Linked DNA regions of Oryctolagus cuniculus. The protein of the gene in region 2 binds, or shares a complex with, the protein of the main gene of each other region. Links are inferred from orthologs where the notes say so. Each region holds a gene or a part of one and is shown on either strand. Other genes may lie near its edges. The genes, in order: CRIPT, PPIL2 and PLRG1.

Region 1 (3,748 bases), on a different chromosome or scaffold from region 2:
ACCTTGCTTTTTTTGAAGTCAAAGCTTTATTTTCATTCAGCTTTCTTCCACCACTTTCTGTATCAAAATATTTCAGTAAGTTATTTCTACATACTTAACATCACACCTACTAATTCAGTTAGAAGTTCATCCTTTGACCTCCCACCATTAGAATAGCCTATATCAAAATTTTTAAATTCTCGTGAAATAGCTAAGTTTTTGAGATGCTACTTAGAAAATATTAGGGAAACAATGACGTTTATGTGAGATGCAGTTTTCTTACTCAGACAGCAAGCAGTACTTTAGGGGTGAGTCTACATTTACTCCATCCACTATAAAATCTAGAAGTTACTACTTTGGTGTCACAGACTCTGAGTCCAGTTCAACTTTCGTTTCCTTCCTGGTGAAAACAGCTTAAGTAATTTTTTTTTTATAAAGAAGATAAAAACTAGGTGAGGAGAGGAGAAATTAAATTCGGACTCTACACTATGACACACTCATCACTTGAAAATATTTAGTAGGTTTGCTATCTCCTGCTTACTATGTTAGGAACCTGTGCATGTAACTGGGAGAACTAGAGAGAAGGCATTAAATCACTGGGGGACCCCGTATATTCTTTATAGACAAGATACTCTGAGAATACAACATCTCACTTTACAAATAAATGTAAAAATATATTATTCACAGGTGGTATTTAATTCAATTTCTGTTTTCCAAAAGAAAAAAAATACCTGTGGTATTTCTTGCACCATCCTTCCATGTATCCGGAGTGATAACAGTGCCAAGTTTCTTTTCACCTGTTGTGATAAAATAGTAAAAGGGGCATTATAACTTGCTAGTTAATAAATACACCACATGGTGCCAAGGCTCCCAATGCCATCAACAGTCATATTACAGTGGGAGCCTGTTAATGCTGGGGTAGAGGCTAGTGAACTGAGATTCAAGATTTTTTTTAAAAAAATTTTATTTTATTTGTTTGAAATGCAGGTTGGGGAGGCAGGTGGTTTCCCATTCACTGGTTGGGAGTGGAACTGGGACTCACATCCAAGGATGCAAAACCCAGACACTCTAATCTGGGATACAAGCATCCCAAGTGACAGACTAACACAAATTACATGGGAGGCCAAAGTTAGAGATTTAAGAACCACACCTAAGAGATGAGACATTTGGGCCAGCACATAATATAAAGATATTTAATTCAAACTTACTCAAATACACACACAAGTCCAAAAACCACTGCAAGTACAAGATGAAGCAGAGTTACAGACAGTCAGTGTCAAGTAAGATCATGCACTTTCTGAAGGGATGGACAGGTCAGCCTATGATCACACTGCACAACTCTGAATATACTGAAAACCAGTGAATTGTACACTTAAAGTGCATGAATTGCATGGCATGTGAATTACGTCTTAATGGTTATTTTCTTAAAGCTTAATGTAAGGCAACAATGGTATGTGGTGTAGTATCCAGAAGGAGGGAGGCATTAGTTGCACTCTGGCCCACATATGGAGCAGAGTTTAATTCTGTGTCACGCAGTAGTGAGTTATGACAGAGGACACACTAGGGACCTTTGTACCAGGCATTACCTATGTCATTTCATGTAATTCTCAAAAAAACCCAAGGCTTATGTTGCGTTCTCATTTTCAGATGGGAAATCTGGGAACACCACGCAGCTTTGCCATGGGTCTGTGTGTCCAGACTGTATCCATCTACCACGGGGATGCCCACAGGTCATGTTCATTAGACCATAATCAGGATTAAGAGGAGTGGAACTCTTGTCACAGAAGAGCCAGAGGGAGAGGATTTGGGAACTTGACAGCTGCTTTTAAACACATAAACAGCTTGGTAGGTCCACAGGGTGTATTTTCTACAAATCTTAAGAGTTTGAATTAAAAACACTGGGTGGCAACCACAGAGGAAAATACTTTCCTCAAGCCAGCAATGCCTCCTTGCAGAGACTTCTTCGTAGGTCGTGGGGGTCTCCAGCCTCCCCCACCCAGATACTGTTTCTTTCATAGGATGGGATGCATTCAGAATAAGCAACGAAGCCAATTTAGTAAGGCACGTCCTAAATAACCGAATGGGGCATACTTACAGCACTAAAAAAAAGTATTCGTTGTTTATCTTAAATTAAAATTCAATTGGAGGTCTGGAATTGCTAGATCTCGCAACTCCACACGCTACAGAAATGACTTTTAAGGTCCATTTTAAGCCTGACGGAGGCGGTCGAGAAGCCGTAACTGATGAGGCGAGAGCCAGAAGGCGGCGACGGCAATGGGCAAAAAGGTGCAGAACTAAGGCCATTCTGATGACAAAATATACGGGATTACACAGTCGATGAGGGGCAGGAAGGGTCACAGGGCAAGGGTGGGAGAACACAGGCTAGACTTAGAGACCTGTGGGAAAAGGAAAAACCAAGTTCCCAGGAGAGTCCGAGTAAGTTCTCCCAGCCTCCTCTCCCCACACAAGCGGCCCCTTAACTCACATTTTTCGCACACCATCTTTCCGCCGACGATTCGCCCTCCTCGCCCCAGAATCAGCCGCAGCTTGAAAACATCAACACTACAGCCTGGGAAGAATTTTCCTTCCGGGCTACGTCAATCTACTTCCGGCCCCTAATCCTCCGCTCCCGCCAATCCTACGCCTGGAAAGCCGCGGGAGGCATGAACGCCAGCGGGTAGGCGGGGCTGCCTCGTTTGTCCGCCCATCCCCTTCTGCGATTGGCTGTGCGACCGTGGGTCTCCGCCCCGCGCGCTTGCGCCTGCGCGTGGGCTGGGGCAGCCCGTTGTGCCTTGATGGTGGGAGGCAGTAGTTCCCTTTCCCTTCGCGGGCGGGAGAGTTAGGTAAGCCCCGTTGGCTGCGTTCTCCTCTGGGAGGTGTGGAAGGCGCCTCCGCCAACTGCCCGAGTGGTCGCGAGCTTGCGCGCCCCCGCCGGCCCTCGGAGGGCCTCCTTCCGCGTGACCCAGGGGCTCCCCTGCTGGACCGCTCCTCTTTCTCAGGCGCGTTCCTGCCCGCGTCCCTCAGCTTTCGCCGGCTGACGGGCCGAGCCCCAGTGACCCGGTGTGGGGTGGGGCTGCGGATGAAGTCCGCGACCCGGGCGGCGGCTGCCCCGGGAGGGCTCGCCGGCGCCCTGCTGGCCGGCGTGGGCGGGCCGAGATCGCCGGCGCCGTGGCGGTGGCCCCGCGAAGGCGCGCCCGGCAGGTGTCCTCGTGGGCCCGCCGAGAAGGGCAGGCGCTTCACCTGCCCGGGTTCCTTCGTTCTTTGAGCAGGCGCTGGAGTGTGGCTTCTGCTGCTGGGATTCCGAGGGTGGCCCAGAGAAAGTAAGGGGGATCTGTTGAGAGAATGGATTTCTGTTCCCCCTACCCGACCCGCAGGCAGCTGAGAGTCTGAGAAACTTTGTCCCTGCTTGTCGCCCGTTCTCTACCGGATCCCTCGTGTGTCCCTTTATGTCTGTAGCGCTGGGGAGCTTGGAACAAGTCTCCTGACTTGTTTTTCTTGTTTAATCAGTAAACTACTTGCCTTTGATAAATGACCGCGGGAATCAAATAAGAGCTATTCGCCAGTGAGCTCCATCCTCTCCCCACCCACATATGCTTTTATGTATTTTTTAGGGCTGTTTCTGTTTGGTGGAATATTCACAGTGTAACACGTTGACTATTTAATAAAGTCTGTACTCCACACTGCCAATACAATGCATAAGCTCTCAGGTAACTAAATACATGAGACAGTAAAATTTTTTCTGCCTCCATTCATGTTTTATTCTTGATTG
Region 2 (3,748 bases):
GCAGGTGGAGGATTAGCCTAGTGAGCCGCGGCGCCGGCCAATAACTAGATCTTAAAAAAAAAAAAGAGGGCCAGCACTGTAGTGTAGGGGGTAAAGCTGCCGCCTCCAGTGCCGGCATCCCTTATGGGTGCCAGTTCAAGTCCTGGCTGCTCTTTTGATCCAGCTCTCTGCTATGGCCTAGGAAAGCAGTAGAAGATGGCCCAAACCCTTGGGCCCTTGCACCCACGTGGGAGACCTGGAGGAAGCTCCTGGCTCCTGGCTTCAGATCAGTCCAGCTCCAGCTGTTGCGGCCAATTGGGGAGTGAACCAGCAGATGGAAGACCTCTCTCTCTCTCTCTCTGCCTCTCTCTTTGCCTCTCCTTCTCTCTCTGGTAACTCTGACTTTGAAATAAAAAAAAAAAGAAAAAGAAAAAGAAAAAATGTAGACCAGGGTTCTTTTCACCACAGCCTGGAGCACTTTGGTTATTTTAAGCCATATTTTTAAAAAAATCGCCAGTGGGTGGGGCATCTTTCCTCTTCCGTGAATGGAGTCCTCGGCCCAGCTGTCCTGCACAGACCACGGGCTGCCTGTATAATGGGGCCACCCATCCTCTGTACACCCCTGTCCTCGGGGCAGAGAAGACTCCCATGCCTTACCTGGCTTCTTGCCACCATAGAAGTGAGTGTATTCAGCACAGGTGATGTACCTGAGAGGGGGAGGGGGAGGGGACGGGGAGAGGGAGGGAGAGATATCACTACGCTGCCACTGGCCAGCCAGGGGTGAACACGGCAGACACGGGGCTGCACAAACCCATAAATAAATAAACACAGACGGCCCTGCGCTGCTCAGAAGGAAAGGAGGTGATTCACCCAGGAAGACCTGACACATGAGAGCGGCCGGCACGGGCAGACCTGGGGGAAGAGCCCTCCAGGCAGACACACGGGCGGGGCCCGCAGCCACAGCGGGTACCGATGCCCAAGGCAGGAAGAACAGACAGATGTCGCTGGGGAGCTGCGGGCACCGGCGGGTGGCAGCGGAGGAAGACGGATGGGGAGGGGCCTCGCAGGTCTTCCTCAGTGGGTGGGAGACCACGGAGGGTTCGGAGCCAGGGCCCTGCTAGGCAGGATCTGACATCAGCCGCAAAGCCTCGCCCTGGCTGCTGTGCGTAGGAAGACAGCCAGAGCAGCAGCAGAAAATCCACCAGGAATTGACCACTTCCTCCGGGTCTCCCACGTGGGTGCAGGGGCCCAAGGACTTGGGCCATCTTCTACTGCTTTCCCAGGCCACAACAGAGAGCTGGATGAGAAGAGGAGCAGCCAGGACTCGAACCAGTGCCCATCTGGGATGCCGGCACTGCAGGTGGCAGCTTTACCCACTACGCCACAGCACTGGCCCCCAGCACACATTGCTTTCACACCACGGTAAGGTCGGAAAACCCTGTCTGTGGTGGGCGCTGTGGTGCGGTGAGTGAGGCTGCCACCCGCATACCGTACCAGAGCGCCTGGAATCAGACCCCGCCCCTCTGCTTCTGACCAGCTCCCTGCCAAGGCACCTGGGGGGCGGCAGAGGATGGCTCAAGTCACTTGGGGTCCCTACTACCCACGTGGGAGACCTGCATGGAGTTCCTGGCCCAGCCCTGGCTGTGGGGCACTTGGGGGACTGGACCAGTGCATGGTAGATCTTTCTTTCTCTCCCTGTGTCATTCCGCATTTCACATCAATACAAATATCTTTAAAAAAAAATTTTTTTTAATTCTCAGCCTATCACTGAGACAGGAAGGAGAGAGGCAAACTCCAGGGCTGGGTTCTATTTCCGATGATCAGATTAAAATGCGGTCTGTATCAGACCGCCGAAGCGGAGATGCCGGGCTGAACAGACTGCTTCAAGACCCCCGCCACAGACAGTAACCTGTGAGGCCTGGGAGAAACGGGAGGAGGGGGCCCGGCCGACGAACCCGAGAAAAGGGGAGGCCGCTGAAGTTTGCGGGAAAACCACGCACGCGAGATCGCAGAGGTCAACGCCACGGGCTTGAGAAATGACTGGATGACCCCAAGCTCGGCAACAAGGACTCAAGGCGGGGGACAGGGGCTGTGAAAGCCTGGCCCCAGCGGACTCGAGAGACAGCAGCAGACCGGGGCTCGTCACTCGGAAAAGGCGAAGAAACGCGACGGCGGCCGGGGCTCGCTCGCTTCCAACCCCGGGGGGCCCGAGACGCGGCTGCCGGATCCCCGGGCTACCGCAGGGGCTGGGGGCAGCGGTGTCACTGCCCGGCCTGGGGAGTGGGCAGGGGGCTTCCGGGAGGAGTCCTGGGGACTCGACTCTGCGAGGGAAGAGGAGCGACGCGAAGCCCCGGCCAAGCGCGGGGCCGGGCGCGCAGCGGCGAGCCGCTCCCCCGACGCGGTTCCACGTACATCTTGTCTTTCTGGTGCTGGCGTTTCCCCATGGCGGCGAGCGCGGCGGTGGGGTCTTCGAGCGCGGAAAAGTCACGGCCAGCAACCGCGAGCCCACAGACGCCGCCGAGTAGTCGGGCAGCTACTTCCGGGATCCGCGGGCCCACGCCGGAAGCGGGCGCTTGGCATGCCGGGAACTGTCGGGTTTCCCTGCCGCCGAGTGCGCATGCTCCAACGGGGTCTGGGCGCGGTGTGGTACCTGAGACCCTGGACTGAGGGAGGCCGCGCTAGCTTGAGCCCCCTCTTTCTTGGCGGAGCTGTTCTCTCCTCGCACCGCCCCATTTAGCTGCCTGCTCGCTCGTATCCCATTCCCAGAGTGCATTGTGTCCGACAGCCTCCACGCCCCTCGGCAGCCCAGCGACAGGTGGCCATGGACCGTCGCTTGGTCCCTTCTGTCTCTTCTTGAGCCACTTTGGGTCCAACGCTGGGGCCCCGGGTGACCCTGGCCAGCAGCACTTGCGTCTCGGGACTCGCCAAGCTGAGGTGCCGGCGCTGTGGACTCTCAAACCACTGATCTCGGATTTAACACGCCTGCTGAGAAAGCAGAATTCTTGTCCCGCTGCCTCCTTACTCTCCTGTCTCCTGAACGGACTGCCAGCCACCGGGTCACCCAAATTTTGTAACTGAAGGCCTAGGATTGAGGCAGAACCGGGAGGAGGGGCAGACCAATCTCAACTGCTGAGCTTGCTTTTCAAAGAATGTTCCAGCACTGCCCTGGGAGGGGCCAGACCCTCAGCCTAAGAGGAATCCCATAGTTTGAGTCAGATCTCCATGACCTTACCTGAGCTTCATTCTCATACCGAATCCTCTGCCCATGGGAGGGGTTCGCAGTCATTACGGAAGATGCGAGGCGTGAAAGATGTATGGTACCTACACGTCTGGGCAGGAGGGCCCCCCACTGCCATTTTGCAATATGCTGGACACTCCTGGCTGCACCTGCTCCAAGTTCTTGTCTCCACTCGGTGAAGTAATTGGAGGAACACCCTAAGGGCGTACGGGAAAGCAGGATTTAGGTACTCAGATGGCGAAGAGGCAACCTCTCTTCATGAGAAGGAAGGGTACTGCCCCCGCAAAGCTGGGGTCGCCCCTTTCAGGATATGGGATGATGCCCTAATTAAGCATTTTTTTTTTTTGACAGGCAGAGTGTACAGTGAGAGAGACAGAAAGAAAAGTCTTCCTTTTGCCGCTGGTTCACCCTCCAATGGCCACCACGACCAGCGCGCTGCGGCCGGCGCACCACACTGATCCGATGGCAGGAGCCAGGTACTTATCCTGGTCTCCCATGGGGTGCAGGGCCCAAGCACCTGGGCCATCCTCC
Region 3 (3,648 bases), on a different chromosome or scaffold from region 2:
CCCCAGTGGCACCCACCATGGAAACTCTACAGGGTGAGCGAATGTCCATTTTATTCTGCCGTGTGAAACGTGTTGCTGTACAGTTGACAGTAGTCGAAGAATAGAACAAGAAGGAAGAGGCGTGACTGAAAACTGGTAGAGTGATTGCAGATGGGATGAGACGGGGCTTAGGCCAAGATATCTTGGAAAAGAATTTTCCTTAGGTAAAAGTGATACTTGTACATCTTATAAAATATTGATAGAAGGCTATTAAATGTGGAAAGCCATCAATTTAAGAAAATGGAATATTTAAAATGAAGGCCAAAGTATACAACAACCATGTAAAAAAATTTCTTTGAACCTACCAGTTATCCTTTCATCTGAATAACTGATTTAATGTACCAGATATAAGATGAAAAGTATTTACTAGGGGCCGACACTGGGGTGCAGCAGGTTAAAGCCCTGGCCTGCAACACTGGCATCCTCTATGGGCACAGGTTCCATTCCCGGCGGCTCAACTTTTAATCCAGCTCTCTGCTGATGTGCTTAGGAAGGCAGCGGAGGAAGGCCTGAGTAGTTGCATCCCTGCACCCACATAGAGACCCTGGGGAGGCTCCTGGCTCCTGGCTTCATTCGGATCGGCTCAGCTCTGGCCATTGCAACCATTTGGGGAGTGGGCCAGTAGATGGAAGACCTCTTTCTCTCTGTTTCTGCTTCTCTCTGTAACTCTTTAAAATTAAAAAAAAATACAGCTGACATAATTTAGTATATATTTAAATTTTACAAGTATTCAAATGATTATATAGTAATAGAGATGTTTCTTTTGGTGTGTAGGTCAAATGAATTAATAGATGTGTAGATCTGGGTGACCATTATCACCATCAGGATGTAAATATTACATAATCTCAAAACACAGCCCTGTGTTGCTGTGTTTTTGTGTATTTTTATTTTTTTAACGATTTATTTAAAAGTCAGAGTTACACAGAGAGAGAGAGGTCTTCCATCTGCTGGTTCACTCCCCAGTTGGCTGGGATGGCCGGAACTATGCCAATCTGAAGCCAGGAGCCGGGAGCTACTTCCGGGTCTCCCACACGGGTGCAGGGGCCCAAGGACTTGGGCCATCTTCTACTGCTTTCCCAGGCCACAGCAGAGAGCTGGATCAGAAATGGAGCAGCCAGGACACGAACCGACGCCCATATGGGGTGCCTGCACCGCAGGTGGCGGCTCCACCCGCTGTACCACAGCGCCGGCCCCCTAAATGCTGCTGTTTTATCATCATACCCTTTTTCATCCCTGGCAACTAACTGATCTGTGTTCCAACACTGTAGTGGTATCTTTTCCACTATCTCATATCGGTGGAATCATACAATACATACTTTTTTTTTTTAAGATTTAATTTATTTATTTGAAAGGCAGACTGACATAGAAATTGAGCGAAAGACATCTTCTGTCCGCTGCTTCACTCCCCAGATGGCTGAAATGGCTGGGAGTGGGCCAGGCTGAAGCCAGGAGCCTGGAACTCCATCAGGGTCTCCCATGTGAGTTGCAGGGGCCCAAGTACTTGGGCCGTCATCTGCCTTCCTAGGAACATTGGCAGGGAGCTGGATGGAAAGCAGAGCAGCCGGTACTCAAACTGGTGCTCTGATGTGGGATGCTGGCATTGCTGTCCGTGGCTTAACCTGCTGAGCCACAATGCCAGCCCCTCGGTGTATACTTCTGGGACTGACTTCCTTCACTTAGGTTAATGCCTTTGAGATTCCTCCAGACTGTTAAATATATTAATGATTCATCCATTTTTATTACTGACTAGTATTGCATTGTGCAAATGTGTCATAATTTGTGTGTCCATTCACCTTTGAAGATAATATTTCTCATTCTAAAGCCTAGTTTTCAAATAATTTTGTTAGTATTTGAAGATGTGAGGATGGCAGTTTAAATCTGACTTGTGATTAAAATGTCATGTGCTAGCATAAGGGTTGAATCATGCTCTACTTTTTAATACAGGTTATCAGTGGGCATCTTGGCTGGGTTCGATGTATTGCTGTGGAACCTGGAAACCAATGGTTTGTTACAGGATCTGCTGACAGAACAATAAAGGTAATAAGGAAGTTAAAAATGAACATGACTATTTGCCATGGAAGCTTGGTCTGTTTCACATTATTTCCTGTGGTGGACGTTGCTGTTGCATTTCCTTTGATTTCTTAGGCCTGAATATAAAATAAAATGTATTGTATTTTGAATTATTTTATTACGATAGAGCCAAAGAAATGGAGTTAGTGGATTAAAAATTAGTTTCCTCTGTGGGTAAACTGATACTTGCAGTCCAGGAGAAGACTGATTTCAGCATATTGATTCTGTATTCCTTTAAAAAATAAAACTATTATGATAAGCAAAAATGGGTATCTAATTTTTTAAACACTGTTTATACAAAATTTCTAGTGAAATTAAGTTTTCTTGTGGCTGGTGCTGTGGTATAGCCAGTTAAACCACCTTCTGCAATGCCAGTATCCTGTATGAGTGCTGATTCGAGTCCTGGCTGCTCCACTTCTGATCCAGCTCGCTGCTAATGTGCCTGGGAAAGCAGCAGAAGATAGCTCAAGTGCCTGGGCCCCGCACCCACTTGGGAGACCTGGATGAAGCTCTTGGCTTTGCCTAGCACAGCCCTGGCTGTTGGTGGCCATTTGGGGAGTGAAGATGGAAGATCTCTATATCTCTGTAATTCTGACTTTAAAATAAGTAAATATCTTTAAAAAAAAAAAGTTAAAAAGAAAAGAAATTGAGCTTTTTCATATCTTTGCTACTTTCAGGTTTTTTTAAGTTGTCAGTCTTTTCTAATTTAATACCATGTTATTTTTACTATTATAGTTATATCATTTATATATTAATAATATTAACCTTGTCAACTCTGGAAAATATTTTCTGTTTGGGCTTGTCTTGTCTTTTTTTCCCCTGCTTTTATTTGGAAGGCAGCTATGCTCACCACTATACCACCAACGCACACTCCCCTGCTTTTATTTGGAGGGAAGTCATTTTGCATATTTATTTCTTTGTATCTATTTTTATCTTTTCCCTTCTTTTTGAAGACTTAATTTTAACATCAGGATTCTAAAATTTGCTTTAAAGTAACCAACATAAAGGAAAAATAATTACTGTTTGATTGCAGATATGGGACTTGGCTAGCGGCAAATTAAAACTGTCATTGACTGGGCACATTAGTACAGTGCGAGGCGTGATAGTAAGCACAAGGAGCCCATACCTGTTCTCCTGTGGAGAAGACAAGCAAGTAAAGTGCTGGGATCTTGAGTATAATAAGGTAACCACTGGGATAAGGGCTTAAAACTTGACAAGACACCCTTTATCTTTCTGCTTGTACAGACTTTAACTTCCCTGCTCTGTCCTTAGGTTATAAGGCACTATCATGGACATCTGAGCGCAGTGTATGGCTTGGATTTGCACCCAACAATCGATGTGCTGGTAACCTGTAGTCGAGATTCAACTGCACGGGTGAGATAGAGCTATATATTTGTAAATACTTTGTGTCTGGTAATGTCTATGTTTGCCGTTAGTCTCATATTGTTTGGTAAAGAATTAAAGGTAGCTGTCTTGACTCTTCAATACCTTAGTCCCTCAGGTTCTTGATGTGTATACTTTCCAGTTTTCATCTTCAGT

The links.
Region 1: PPIL2 (region 2) and CRIPT share a complex: the UniProt entries of both Homo sapiens proteins name them as parts of the minor spliceosome. The link is inferred for Oryctolagus cuniculus from reciprocal best matches to the Homo sapiens genes PPIL2 and CRIPT.
Region 3: PPIL2 (region 2) and PLRG1 share a complex: the UniProt entries of both Homo sapiens proteins name them as parts of the minor spliceosome. The link is inferred for Oryctolagus cuniculus from reciprocal best matches to the Homo sapiens genes PPIL2 and PLRG1.

What each region holds. Positions count from the first base shown.
Region 1 is NC_091433.1:156,147,042-156,150,789, forward strand, and holds the start of CRIPT (cysteine-rich PDZ-binding protein), read right to left. Parts: upstream 2,618-3,748; 5' UTR 2,481-2,617; coding exon 2,465-2,480; intron 777-2,464; coding exon 711-776; intron 58-710; coding exon 3-57; intron 1-2. Other genes in the region: PIGF (phosphatidylinositol-glycan biosynthesis class F protein), read left to right, coding at 3,671-3,686. UniProt on the Homo sapiens protein: As a component of the minor spliceosome, involved in the splicing of U12-type introns in pre-mRNAs. Involved in the cytoskeletal anchoring of DLG4 in excitatory synapses.
Region 2 is NC_091452.1:29,127,005-29,130,752, forward strand, and holds the start of PPIL2 (RING-type E3 ubiquitin-protein ligase PPIL2), read right to left. Parts: upstream 2,610-3,748; 5' UTR 2,424-2,609; coding exon 2,392-2,423; intron 687-2,391; coding exon 637-686; intron 1-636. UniProt on the Homo sapiens protein: Has a ubiquitin-protein ligase activity acting as an E3 ubiquitin protein ligase or as an ubiquitin-ubiquitin ligase promoting elongation of ubiquitin chains on substrates.
Region 3 is NC_091439.1:11,044,979-11,048,626, reverse strand, and holds part of PLRG1 (pleiotropic regulator 1), read left to right. Parts: coding exon 1-33; intron 34-1,983; coding exon 1,984-2,076; intron 2,077-3,142; coding exon 3,143-3,292; intron 3,293-3,381; coding exon 3,382-3,483; intron 3,484-3,648. UniProt on the Homo sapiens protein: Involved in pre-mRNA splicing as component of the spliceosome. Component of the PRP19-CDC5L complex that forms an integral part of the spliceosome and is required for activating pre-mRNA splicing.